4 linked regions of the Kluyveromyces lactis genome follow. The protein of the gene in region 2 interacts with the protein of the main gene of each other region in a biochemical or structural test. Links are inferred from orthologs where the notes say so. Each region holds a gene or a part of one and is shown on either strand. Other genes may lie near its edges.

Evidence for each region.
Region 1: the proteins of STE5 (region 2) and FUS3 form a complex in vitro, tested with the Saccharomyces cerevisiae proteins (6 studies listed by BioGRID, with this or other methods). The link is inferred for Kluyveromyces lactis from reciprocal best matches to the Saccharomyces cerevisiae genes STE5 and FUS3.
Region 3: the proteins of STE5 (region 2) and KSS1 form a complex in vitro, tested with the Saccharomyces cerevisiae proteins (2 studies listed by BioGRID). The link is inferred for Kluyveromyces lactis from reciprocal best matches to the Saccharomyces cerevisiae genes STE5 and KSS1.
Region 4: the proteins of STE5 (region 2) and STE7 form a complex in vitro, tested with the Saccharomyces cerevisiae proteins (3 studies listed by BioGRID, with this or other methods). The link is inferred for Kluyveromyces lactis from reciprocal best matches to the Saccharomyces cerevisiae genes STE5 and STE7.

The regions. Positions count from the first base shown.
Region 1 is NC_006041.1:928,511-931,604, reverse strand, and holds FUS3 (mitogen-activated serine/threonine-protein kinase FUS3), read right to left. Parts: upstream 1,617-3,094; coding exon 501-1,616; downstream 1-500. Other genes in the region: PEP1 (type I sorting receptor), read left to right, coding at 2,204-3,094. UniProt on the Saccharomyces cerevisiae protein: Together with closely related KSS1, FUS3 is the final kinase in the signal transduction cascade regulating activation/repression of the mating and filamentation pathways, induced by pheromone and nitrogen/carbon limitation, respectively.
Region 2 is NC_006042.1:1,102,593-1,106,648, forward strand, and holds STE5 (Ste5p), read left to right. Parts: upstream 1-1,315; coding exon 1,316-3,556; downstream 3,557-4,056. Other genes in the region: PDA1 (pyruvate dehydrogenase (acetyl-transferring) subunit E1 alpha), read left to right, coding at 1-75; SPO71 (Spo71p), read right to left, coding at 3,551-4,056. UniProt on the Saccharomyces cerevisiae protein: Component of the pheromone signal transduction pathway. It mediates pheromone signals acting between STE20 and STE11. It is absolutely required for pheromone-induced transcription of FUS1. May play a role in cell-cycle arrest in response to pheromone.
Region 3 is NC_006037.1:217,443-220,180, forward strand, and holds KSS1 (mitogen-activated serine/threonine-protein kinase KSS1), read left to right. Parts: upstream 1-1,149; coding exon 1,150-2,238; downstream 2,239-2,738. Other genes in the region: KLLA0_A02475g (FAD-dependent oxidoreductase), read right to left, coding at 1-245; LUG1 (Lug1p), read left to right, coding at 2,704-2,738. UniProt on the Saccharomyces cerevisiae protein: Together with closely related FUS3, KSS1 is the final kinase in the signal transduction cascade regulating activation/repression of the mating and filamentation pathways, induced by pheromone and nitrogen/carbon limitation, respectively.
Region 4 is NC_006039.1:1,450,681-1,454,095, reverse strand, and holds STE7 (mitogen-activated protein kinase kinase STE7), read left to right. Parts: upstream 1-1,400; coding exon 1,401-2,915; downstream 2,916-3,415. Other genes in the region: DExD/H-box ATP-dependent RNA helicase DHH1, read right to left, coding at 1-441; DMO2 (Dmo2p), read right to left, coding at 3,100-3,415. UniProt on the Saccharomyces cerevisiae protein: Serine/threonine protein kinase required for cell-type-specific transcription and signal transduction in yeast. It is thought that it is phosphorylated by the ste11 protein kinase and that it can phosphorylate the FUS3 and or KSS1 kinases.

The sequences.
Region 1 (3,094 bases), on a different chromosome or scaffold from region 2:
GCGCTACTCGAATCACACAATAGCTCGGACATCCCGAAACATTAATGGTGCAGCTTACTCAGTTTACTAAGTTTGCAAGGATAGAGAGGGGAAGGAATCGTATCGGGTCGTAAGAATTACTGCATGTGGCAATGTATGACTGAAGAGCATACCATAGTGAAGGAAAGAGTCATGCGTGTTAAAGTCCGGATCAATGGATTTTTTGCATTTTCGTTCACAGATTTCCTAGTGCGTGTAATTTGTTTTTCTTGGTTTGACCTTCCCTGCAACGAGGGGGCCCCTAAAACAAACAAGAAAAAATCGCATTTAAGATAATCGCAGAACGGCGGCTCCGAAATGGGATCTTTTCGTCTCAATTTCTTTTTTTCCTTTCCAAAGCACAAAACCGCATTATGTTTATCTGATGGTGTTCTTTGTTCATTTTGGAGACCTCTACACAAGAAAATGATATAATACGCTAGTGGTTACTTAGTCATTCGTTTGTTTTTGGATGGTGTGTCTCATGACACGATTTCGTTCCATAACAGCCGCTTCAAATCCTTTGTATTTAGCCGCGACTTCCATTGGTCAAATTGAAAGAATGACGAAGGAATCGGAGTTCCTTCGGGCTCGTCGTCCGGGTCATGGTACGAGACCAAGTATGGATGTGATAGCGCTTCCGTGGCAGTGATCCGTAGCCTCGGATCGAATTGCAGCATCCGGTCAAGGAGATCAAGAGCGGCTGCAGATGCATTCGGGAACCTACGCCGCCAATTGATCTTGGGATGCTTAGGTAACGAGCGAATGTACTCACGTGCACGTCTATTTTCTACTAGCTCCACCAATTCTTGTTCCGTGGGTGTCCCTAAAGTCTGAAATATCAGGATCAACTGATCTCTGTAATCTTTCCCGGGGAACAACGGTTGTTTCCCCAAGAGCTCGGCAAGAATGCATCCGCATGACCATACGTCCATGGACTTGGAGTACTGTGCAGCTGTTAACATTACTTCCGGTGCTCGGTACCATCGGGTTGCCACATACTCTGTCATTCCCGAAATTGCCGGGTCACCGTCATTAGCCGCCGATGAAGGGGAGTTATCATCCGTGTCATCAGCGTCAACATGGGCATCGCCATCTGTTGCTCTTTCAGATACAATTCTTGCCAAACCAAAATCACAGATTTTCAAATCGCAGTTGCTGTTTAACAACAAATTACTTGGTTTTAAATCTCGATGGATCACATTACTTCCATGCAGCACTTTAAGCGCCCTTAAAGTTTGGTATACAAAATACTGCACATGATCCTCACTTAGTTCCTGCGTCACGATCACTCTATGCAAGTCCGTCTGCATCAACTCTTGAATTATGTACACCTCGTTAAACTGTTCGAAAGATGATGGTTTTTGCACGTCAAATATGCTGATTATGTTTTCGTGTTGGAAATGCTTCAATATCTTGATCTCTCTTAATGTTCTAATAGAAAATAGGGGTTTCTCAAAAGGTTCGATCTTTTTGATAGCAACTATTTCTCCACTGGGTTTGTGCTTCGCTGAACATACCACTCCGTAAGCACCCTCACCGAGAAGCGACTGTAGTTGAAACTCAGAGCTTATGTTAAATACTATCCTCTTGCCCATTGTCACACTATCTATCTCTGGTTCTCTGGATGAATAAAACCAGAGCAAAAATTTGTCCACCCCTTCTTGCCTGAGAATTTATCCATATTTACCCACTTTTAGGTATGATATATATATATGTAATATCTTAAGTCTTCTTGTTTCTCACTAAATCGCCTCAAAACCTCAAACCATCGAAGTTTTCACTTTAATTGTTTGTAATTCATGAACGCGACATTCCCCATATTCCCTTAAGTACGGCCGTTTCATCTTGAAACGAGACTAATTTCTTCAGAGATAATGTGAAACAAGCTGCAACAGTTTAGGGAAAAATTAAGGTTCTTAATTATGTTCACATTCACGTGACGCGTCCTTTTTTTTCCTTCTTCCCTTTTACCAACTTTCAAATGCTCAGAATTGGTATTATCAAAATTGCTAGGAGGAAAAAATAGAATATATCGTACAGATTGTCTTTTGAACCATTGTTCAACAGTTCGTTGTAATTTTGGTCTTAGCGGTAGTTAGCTTGTGTTTCATGTATATACTCAATTACCGATATAAACGAAACCCTTTTACATTGCTTGCAGTACTTTTAACGTCTTTGTCTCATGTTTTGGTGGAATATCCTTATTTGGCTGGGGCTTTGGAACTTTCTGCCCGTTTTGGCTCAGGATTTTAAACCCAAGGTATCGTTCCATTCGGATGTAGACACGCATGGCCGCTTGTCTATCCTCGGATTTGATGATTCGAGAGTAGTTCTTAAACTTCTTCGTGGTGTTGAGCTTTATAGAAGTGAGGATAATGGTGTTACTTGGGATTCGGTGGGATTGCCCCTTTCGTCTGATAACAAACCTCAGGAATGGAATCACTTGGTACTAGATCGGATTTATAAAGCAGATGTTGCATATTTGAGTGGTGAAAACGGCGTTTTAGCTACCGGTGATAAAGGGAAATCTTGGAAACAGTTAACTTTCCTAGACGCAGATAATCATAAGATAGACTTCTCTGATTATTCGAACGTCGGCGATGAAAATCGTAAACCGATTATCAACGTTGAAATCGAGTCACATCCCACAAATAAGAATGCAAGAATTATCAATATCTATGAACTAGGTAAACTGGATGGTAAATTTACCTTAAGGCAGATTTCGTTTTATTCCAAAGATGGTAACAATTTCAAATTGGCCAGCTCTGGTTCTAAAAGTAATGATGATTCAAACCCTTTAAACATGTTTTGTTCATTCGTACAGAAATCATCAAAATCAAAACTGTACAAATTAAAAGACAAGGTAATCTGTCAGGAGAGTACCGTACTATCCCCTTTCGGAGATGTTTCCAGTAAGTTGTATATCACCGATGTTAATTTTAAGAGTTTGAGTCCGTTTGCCGAACAATTACAGGATTTGTCTCCAGCATCAACGTTCATTTCCGATAATCATCTATTTATCTTGACATTATCAGATCGGTTCAATGAAAATTCTGCCGCAAATCTCTGGAGA
Region 2 (4,056 bases):
ACTCCAACCCTAAGAGGTAGATTGCAAGAAGATACTTGGGATTTTGCTAAGAAGAGCTTTGCTTTCAGAGATTAGAGCAAGAACGAATTAGGTAATTGAACGTTAAAGTTAACTTCTTTGCGTTTATCCTTTTTTTTATTCCCATCTCTCTACTCTTCCCTTTTCGAAAGACAACTATATTCCTATAAACTGCCCTTTCACAATATTATGCTATAAGGTTCACAAGATGATACTATTTGTATAGTGCATCTGCTATTTTCCACCAATCAATATTAAAGTACCAAAATCATAAAAAAACACCTTTTAGATACAAGTGTTTTTTATTCATTTCATTCACGGTATGGTTTCTATTCAGATAACTGTTTTTTTCGGTTTTAAAACATGAATGTTCATCTGTGACTTCTCATTCTCTCTCTCTCCATGAGACTTCGTTGATGCTTATTCTCAATGCCGAGAACATTATCTGGTTACTGATGCCTGCCATTACGGATTACCTGCGTTTTAATTTCTTCCCAAACAAAACAACGATACAGAATTTTCTCATTACTCCCAAAAACTACCTCAATAATTCGTGCTACAATCTTCTTTTCTTACGTTGATCTTGCGCCTGTTATAAACATGATTTATTGTGAACTAGGTTTTGTAAACTAATCTGACATTGTTCTTCACCATAAATTGTCTCTCCCCTTTTTGGTTGCTACGATACAATGTCGTCAAATGCGAAGCCGCATATTAGACAGATGAAAAGTTACAATACCTTGTCCATCATTGAATCATCTACTCACCTTTCTAATGACTGATCTCACGACGACTTACCCCAATAATCATCTCATCTCTATTTACTAGACTTACATCTAGTCTATATATAAATTGTATTTACTGAATTAAAGTATCATAGATATACTAGAGACAGTTTTGTCACCCTGGTTCCAGAGTCACTGCAGGACCCTACTCATCGACTTCCTAAAATGTACACTTTGTCCTGATTTCATCACTATCTCTGTTTTCATTTAAGGGAAGAAAATTATTCATTACTTAAGACCGTTGATGTTTAAATCTGAAACAACCTCAAAATGGCATCATGATGAAAGGGGAAAATATAGTGATTGCAGATTCCGGGAGATTTGAGATTCTTTTAGTGAATTCTCCAAAGTAGCTACCATGATATCGTTACTTATGTGCTAATCTATCAATTGAATAACTGAACAATTATTGTTCAAAGTATTAAGAATACATCCAAAAGTCTTCAAACTTTAAGGAATTTAAGAGTAACACTACGGCTGACTAGAGCATATTAACTATTACTTTGCTAGAAATGTCTAGAGGTAATACATCATCAATGAATTCTCAGGATATCTTATTTCAATTGACTAATGTGGGATCCTCCCCGGTGCCTAAACTGGATACAGGATCCACTTCAGGGTCCAATACCTCATCGCCAAGAAGATGGACAGAGCTTTTTTCTAAGAAGAGAGTGAAGACGCCTTCAGTTGGTACTCCATCGACTGCATCATCCATGATATCTTCCTTCTATGATAGTTCTCCCATAAGACCAGTGTCAAAACAGCATCCTAAGCACCTCCTGGTAGATCCGATCATGCCGCCTCCACCCATAATGCTCTCTCCCATTGGACATGAGACCTTAGGAAAGAAGCCCACTCGAAAAAATGGTAATAAGTCTTGGAAAAATGAGAGATGTTGCATATGCGGAGATCTTTGTTCGTTCAAGGGTTCTAATGAGAAGGTAATCCCTTTGGAGTGTAACCATATGTGTCATGAAGATTGTTTAATGGTGAGTTTACGACCTCTTCCTCATAAATCAAACCTGTATGATGCCTTGCCGAAATGCGACATCTGTAGTATGTCATGCATACCGGGACAGGAAGATATGCGACAGAAGGTAAGGTCACACTTGTTAACCTTACCTGATGACGGTGAAAGTGTTGGACTCGAACCGTATAATCCTCAAGAAAACTACGAGCGGATAAAATTGTGCGATGCAGACCTCTTACCCAAGCACTCAGGTAATGATGAAACGTTTCCACATTTGCAGACTACTAGAACAACTGCAAGAAATAACGATATCAGGTTATCTTTTGCATTTTCTTTGAAACCAGGGAAAACGGTTACTCCATCTCTTCGAGATTCCATCCGTTTGCATAGGAGTCGCAGTATAAAAAGAAGATCCAACTTCAGAGGAAGTACGGTTTCTGGCTTGTCGTCCATCGTATCATCTTCCTCGAAAGATGACTGTCAACTGCCTTCTTTGCACGTTCAAAGGCAGTATTTCATTCAAGCGTTTTTGAATAGTTTTAGCGAAGTCAAGCCTTGGGAAATTGATGCTAAATATGGACTCTTACGATTGATAGATAATTTTTTGATATCATTAGATGGCATAAATTTCCAACACCAGGTTTGCTACCTATTTTCGGAATATTTACTAGTATGTCGACCATCTCCTGCTACTTCGGCAAATGTTCTTCAATTCTCGAGCTACCGTTGTTTCCAATTGAATAATCCTCCTGAACTAGATTTATTAGATGCAACTACTCTTGAATCAAAATCTCGTTCTGGGGAAAGAATTCTTATTAAACCTTATGGGTTGGATACAAAAGCTTTAGAAAAATGGATAACAGCTCTATTTGATCTTACTTTGCCGTTCGGAAATTATGATTTCACTTCGATCAAGGTTCCCGAATTTGTGGCTTGCATTCCTAGCACCAATGATACAGGTACAATCATTGTCAGACGACAGAGTACCTTAAATGAAACCCTTATCCCTAAAACAATTCGAGATTCATCCGTGTTAACCTCAATATCATCCATTTTGTCCATCAAAAGAGCAACACCAAATGAATTAAATTTGGTGTTGCAATTAGATAAAAGAAAGACTAATGAAGATAATATCGTCTCGATCAAGAACGTCATTTTAGCTTTGACTTGGAAGTTTTCTACTTTTAACTGCTGTATTGTTGATGTTGAAGGAATGGTCATCAATTGCGGAACTGCTAACGATGTTCTCAATTCGTTGGCTGGTCCGATAAAAAGTAATGGTAATCAACCATTCTCTCCAGATCTTTTACACCAATTATGGTATCGGCAAAAACAGAAAATATGCAAAAATGTTGGGGTTGTTGTTTTATCAAACTCATCCATGGAGAATGGTAAATCATGTCTTTTTAGCGATTATCGAATATTCGCTGATGCAGGCAAACGGCATCCAAATGAATTAAAAATAAAAGTAGGCTTTCTGAATGTAGATTATAGTGATAATATCAAAGAACTCGTTGAAATTCAGGACTGGAACGAATTGCTTGAAGCTGTTGCCTATAGTTTTAATTTGAGCTTTGATGATGATTTAGATAGTAGTGACTGTGTCAGTACCTCCTCTAGTGATTTTGAAGTGGATTCAGTTCCAGATAAGAATAGAACATTCCGGCTTTCATCACCTATATCCTGGGAAAATCACGTACAGGCTGACTTGACAGGATCTATGAATGGTATTAGTGAATCTATTGAAGACCGGCAATCAAATCATATGTACGACTATTTATAACATTTTCACTCTCTCTAATTCATCATATATTTTTACCATCCACAAATCTCTCTCTTGCCTGGATCGACACATAAAAATCATCGATTTTCCCGAGACTCCAAGTTTATCAACAACGTGAAATTTTGAAGAGTCCGGAGTTTCTGGTGTTATTACTGAACTTAACATTATCCTTTTGTTTGGAAACCACATAACAAAAGTCCTACTACTCTCTTCATCCATGCTTTTCCATCCGTCAGCATACACTCTTGAGAGACTATGAGAACCTGGATTAATAGAGTTAAAGTCTTTGTCTCGGTCCAAGAGTTCCTGTTCACTGAGGGCACCTGAATATAGATAGCATTTCTCTATCGGAATCGTTAAAAAATGTCTATACTTTGTCGAATCTTTCGCGTAGCCCCTTATGGATCTATCGAAACAGTGGTACAACATTATAAACCCAGGAATCAACACCATGAAATGCTTGTTGAATACTGAATGTTTTCTGGATTTATGATAAATTA
Region 3 (2,738 bases), on a different chromosome or scaffold from region 2:
AAATTCTCATACGTGAACCTATCATACCACATGACGTTTTTATCATCAGGTGAAATACAAGACCAAACACCACCTGCCCATGGACTAGTATAACCAGTGGGTGACTGGTCACCTGGTAAGTAATCTGCCACAATGCAGATATTTTCACCCGGAACGCCGTACAATTCGGTCAAACAGTACGTGACGTACAAACCAGAAATACCTGCACCAACAACAGTGATCAATGGCTGAGATTTGTTAGACATGTCATTTGATAATTTCAGGCTCAAATAAAGCTTACTGATGAAATTGTGACTTTCACCGCTATAGATATATTCAGTAGATGTTTTACTCTACTATAGAAACTGGGAATGCTCAAGTAAGTGATCTGCCAATTGGCTGTTTCCTACTTCAAACTGAAACTAGGTTGGAAAACTTTACTGAGGAAAGAGAATCTCAATCCCATGTCCCTTCACTTATGTATGTTACCGATGACAAACCATGCTATTCTGACAAACGCGCTGCCTCGACCCCACCTATCTTAGATATCACTTCCAGCTCATTTACAGTCAAGTCATGTTGCCTTCTCTCGAGGAACTACCATTTAAGGTAACTCGAAAAATCTGTAAATCCACGTTGCGGTCTTAGCTATTCCCTTATCAATTCTCTGTTAACTTTAACTATGACTTTCAGTTCACCTATCGGGAAATGAGTTCCGCAGATTTACCCGCATGGATCCAATTTATGCTCAGTCGCAGTGGTAACAACCGACAGAACATGTGTGAAACTGCACTTTCTTGAACGGTGAAGCGCATTGCGGTATGTCCGAGCAGTGATGTGTATTATAAGTCACATGACTGACACCGGGGTAACATTTTTTCAGGTTTCGAGATTGGATGGAATGTTCACCAACATGAAACAAAGATTCAAGGACGAAACATTCTTTATCTGGACGACATGGAACGTCGCGCATTGTGTCAACTCAATGGGATACTTAAGGCGCCGAGTCAACGCTCGGGAATGACGATAAAGGATTCCCATCCAGAGTTTTGCAATTGGACGCTATAGGTATATATAATATTTAATCCTTAGTGGGGGGAAACTAAATCTATAATAGTGGAATAGCAGAGATCATTATAACAAGCAAACCGGAGATCTAACAGCATAGAGATGCCACGAACAATCACGTATGATATCCCATCCCATTATCAACTAGTAGATCTGGTTGGTGAGGGAGCATATGGTACAGTTTGCTCTGCGATACATAAGCCAACAAACACGAAAGTTGCAATTAAAAAGATACAGCCGTTTAGCAGATCGATGTTTGTTACCAGGACGTTACGGGAGTTGAAACTGTTGAAATTCTTTCATTCGCATGAAAATATCATATCGGTCTTGGATATAGTACGTCCGACGTCATGGCATAAATTTGAAGCAGTTTATCTTGTACAAGAGTTGATGGAAACGGATTTGCAGAAGATTATCAACCAACAAAATTTATCAGAGGATCATATCCAATATTTCGTTTATCAAATACTAAGGGCTTTAAAATCGCTACATTCGGCACAAGTAATCCATAGGGATTTGAAACCAAGTAATTTGTTACTGAATAGCAATTGTGATCTCAAAGTGTGTGATTTTGGGTTGGCTCGTTGCCTGGCATCGAGTGATCAATCAAGAGAGAATATGGTGGGTTTCATGACAGAATATGTAGCTACCAGATGGTATAGGGCTCCAGAAATCATGTTGTCCTTCCAAGAATACACAACTGCAATGGATATCTGGTCATGTGGATGTATACTAGCAGAAATGATCATGGGTAAGCCGCTTTTCCCAGGTAAAGATTACCACCATCAACTCTGGATCATCTTAGAAGTTTTAGGGTCTCCAACTTTGGAAGACTTTGAACAAATCAAGAGTAAAAGGGCAAAAGAATACATATCTCAACTACCCATGAAGAAAGGTATACCCTGGGCTAATGTGTTAAATAAAGAAGTTAACCCTCTTGCTATCGATTTATTGTCCAAGATGCTAACTTTCAACCCAGACAAGAGGATCAGTGCAGTTGAAGCGTTGGAACATCCATATTTGGCAACATATCATGATCCAGATGACGAGCCAGATTATCCCCAACTAAACCTTGAAGACAATTTTTGGAAAATTGACAACGAGGCCCGCGATAAAAACGAGGAAGACGATATTCCACTGGAACTGTTGAAAAAGATGCTTTATGGTGAAGTTATGAAGCCTCTAAATTGATATGTTCGATATTCTATGAACTAAAAAAAAACTATCCGCATAGTCTTTGAATGAATGTACTGAGACTCAAGGATTTTACGTTTCATGGGTACTTCTCATTAGGACGCCTAGTCTGTCAAATTGAGGAAAAGTAATACAAGAATTCTCATACTCATATTAGACAATCATATAGTTAATTACATAACTAAGTAAAGCTACGAATAACCACATCACGTTTTTCATACTCTTTGATCCCTTATGAACCTTAAGTGTACTTTATGCCCTGAAATGAAAAATAAAGTAGCGATATAATTAGAATGAACAAGAACTTGAACAAAAGACCCGCATCAATAGAAGAAAAAATGAAAACCAAAGTGGATCTTAAAGAAATCATCAAGAGCACCAAAACAGGTGCAAATAGCTTTAAGGATTGGTGAAGTGTATAAAACGTGTTATTCGGGGCTCGCATATCATAATTCGTTCAATATGATCAGTGAAACATCGACGATGCGGTTACCTTC
Region 4 (3,415 bases), on a different chromosome or scaffold from region 2:
GTCATCTCTCAAATTCGTACCACCAGTGGTAACCATACAAGAGATACCACAGTGTTTCCCTAGCGTGCGCACCACTTGTGATGTTTGCAAAGCCAACTCTCTTGTAGGAACCATAATCAATGCTTGAATTTTGTTCAACTTGGGCTTCACTTTTTCCAAAGTTGGTATAACGAACGCTGCCGTCTTACCAGTACCGTTCTTGGCACGCGCTAATATATCCTTCCCGGCAATGGCAACGGGAATAGCTTCTTCTTGGATTGGGGAAGGCTTCTCAAACCCTGCTTCAAATATACCCATCAAAAGTTCTCTTTTCAAATAGAAATCTTCAAACGAACGACCCTTCGTGTTCAACACATCATCAGTCTGAGGCCTCGTATCCTTTTTAGGAATATTCAACTGGGTCTTCCAGTCGTTATTACTTTCGCTTGTATCGCTGCCCATATTATCAATTATCTTTAATATTCTTTGCAGATAAAGTTAAACCTTCTTAAATAAAGCTTCAATGAATTAGTCAATTAATAAAATTAGTCAATTAGTGTATATCCGGAAACTATGCTGTTGCTAATATCACAGAGTAGAATGTATAAATACTATACCTATGACCATAATACACATGTTATACTTTTATTTCCTCTTGTGCCTCTGTAATAATTGTTCAAATTAATTCTAAACTTCATAATTTTTTCTTCTTTCCAGAGTGGAGGGAAGAGCAATGTTACCCTACTGAAGCAATTACAAGTGCGGGTAACGGATATCACCCTTTTCACAAAATCCGAATTGTCACGTGATAAGAAAAGTGAAGACATGTCCGGGTAACAAATATGCCAAGGGCTAAGCTCAGCACCGTGAGGCTTCTCTATCACTTGTAGCGATAAGGTACGATGCAGTGCGAATAATGGGAATGCCTAGACAAAAATATATATAGATGTATCAGCGCATATGAGCGTACGTTGAAATGAGAATGCTCGAGGCAACTAGGCATTCCCATTACGTTCAATAGCAGAAGTGACTTCCTTTCATTTTCTTGTTCTATTCGTGGTTCCGTTGAGGACCACACTAATTTATCATGCACCGTATAAATAAAAAGTAGCGTAATAATTAAGTAATGATAAAGAAAGCCTATACAAGGCTAAGCAGTAACTCAGAAGAAGAAAGAGACGATTACTGAGGCAGCAAGGAGTGTTGCAAAGAGCCAACGTGTGTTGTTTTTTGGAACCTGGTGGGGTCTTTCTATTAGGGTTTCTAGTTGCATTTTAATTTTTGTCTCATTTTACAATCATCTGAGCCTGTAAGTTTGGCTTTGGTATTAATATCTATTATTGATCGTAAAACTTTAATATCTCCAAAGAGAAGAGGCGCAGAAAGTGGTGAACATTGAGGTCAGATTGACTTAAAAGCATATGATTACACGTACCCAAAACGGCTCGATGTTATTGAATCGAATAAACCATGAACCGTCGAATGATAGTGCAGAGGGATCGTGCAATAGTTTGTTCAAACCGAAGACTTTGAAACGGAAGAATTTGAAGCATTTGACTCTAGAATCATCATGTTCATCATCATCTTCCTCTCCTGACGAAATACCGAAAGGTTTTAGTAATGGAAATGGTCCAACACTCAGTTTGATGTTGGAGAAGCTTCCGGTCCGTGAGGAAATAAGTCCAATTAGCAGAGACACTTCATTCCAGACGGTTTCATTCCTTCAAGGGAGTTCTAGTACATCAGATATATCTTCCATTGTCAGCGGGACTACACCAACCACAAGAGATGCTCCAATGTCACTTACTCCTACAGGAGTCAGTATGATGCAACAGGAGACAGATGAAACGGCCACATTGACTACTCAGATTGCTCGACTTTCTTTAACCCCAGAGAACGGAATTCAACTCGAAAACCTTGTACGATTGAGCAAGATTGGAGCGGGAAATTCGGGTACTGTGGTGAAGACTTTGCATGTACCTGATTCTAGAATCATAGCTAAGAAAACTATACCAGTAGAGAATAAGGAAGTGCTGAAAAATCAACTTGTTAGAGAACTAACCATCATGAAAAATGTTTCAGCCCATGATAACATTGTTGGTTTCTACGGTGCATTTTACAATCCATCCACCACTAACGAAATAGTGATTCTTATGGAATATATGGATTGTGGCTCGTTAGATAAGATTTTGTCAGTTTACAGATCTGATTGCCATAGGAAAAACGTTTCTATATCGTGCAAGACATCGTGGTTCAACGAAATGCCTCTCTCAAGGATCTCCTTTTGTGTTTTAAATGGACTTATCTATCTTTATGACTGCTATAAAATCATTCACAGGGACATCAAACCGTCCAATATATTGATAAACTCGAAGGGAGACGTAAAGATCTGCGATTTTGGTGTCTCTACTACTCTAATTAACTCTCTTGCGGATACCTTTGTCGGAACCTCCACTTACATGTCACCTGAACGTATCCAAGGTGGCAGATATACTACTAAAGGTGATGTGTGGTCATTAGGTCTTATGATCATCGAGCTCAGTAGTGGTGAGTTCCCACTAGGTGGACATCACGACACACCAGAAGGGATTCTTGATCTTTTACAGAGAATTGTCAATGAACCTGCTCCAAAACTGTCAAAAAATGAACATTACTCCATAGAAATGACAGATTTCGTGAACAGGTGTTGCATTAAGGAGGAGAGAGGACGATCATCTTTGAAAGAATTGATATGTCATGATTTCATCTGTAAGTATAACAACAGAGACACTATTGCAAAAGAATTCAGGCATTGGTGCAAAAAAGTGAAGAAGCGGATCAAAGAGGATAAGATGATAAGAAGAGAAGAGACAGAGAGAAGTAAGATCGAAAAAAGACAATTAGAGAAAGCAGCGTTGGCTGTTACAGCCGCAAGGTCTTCGAGTACAAGGCGATGAAATAAATTAAGAAATTGCACTATATTAGGATAAATTGATGTCCTAGTTTGCATCTCATCTCAATAACGATCATTATTACAGGAACGGACTATGGATCAGTAGCATAAAGAATTTATATACAACTTATTTAGGACTTTCATATAGAATCGGAAATATTCACTAATGTCACTAAATCGAAAAACTATTACCAAACCTTATACTTTTTCTCTTTATTCCATAACCATCCTTCCGTTCCTCTATATATTCCGAAGGCAATCAAGGCTCCACCGAATAATCTTGCTGAAGATACCCACCATTTTGGATTCAGTTTTGCGAACTGTTCAACGGTTACACCTTTCTTCTTTTCAGCTTCACCGTATTGGAACGGTTTACCGCTGGCTAGATACCCACCAAATCCCAATGAGAATGCGGTTGCCATTATTTGACATGGAATACAATCTCTTGTCTCTTCATCTGTTAGATCCCTTTGTGCTGGTGGATTAAATAAACTTGTGATATTA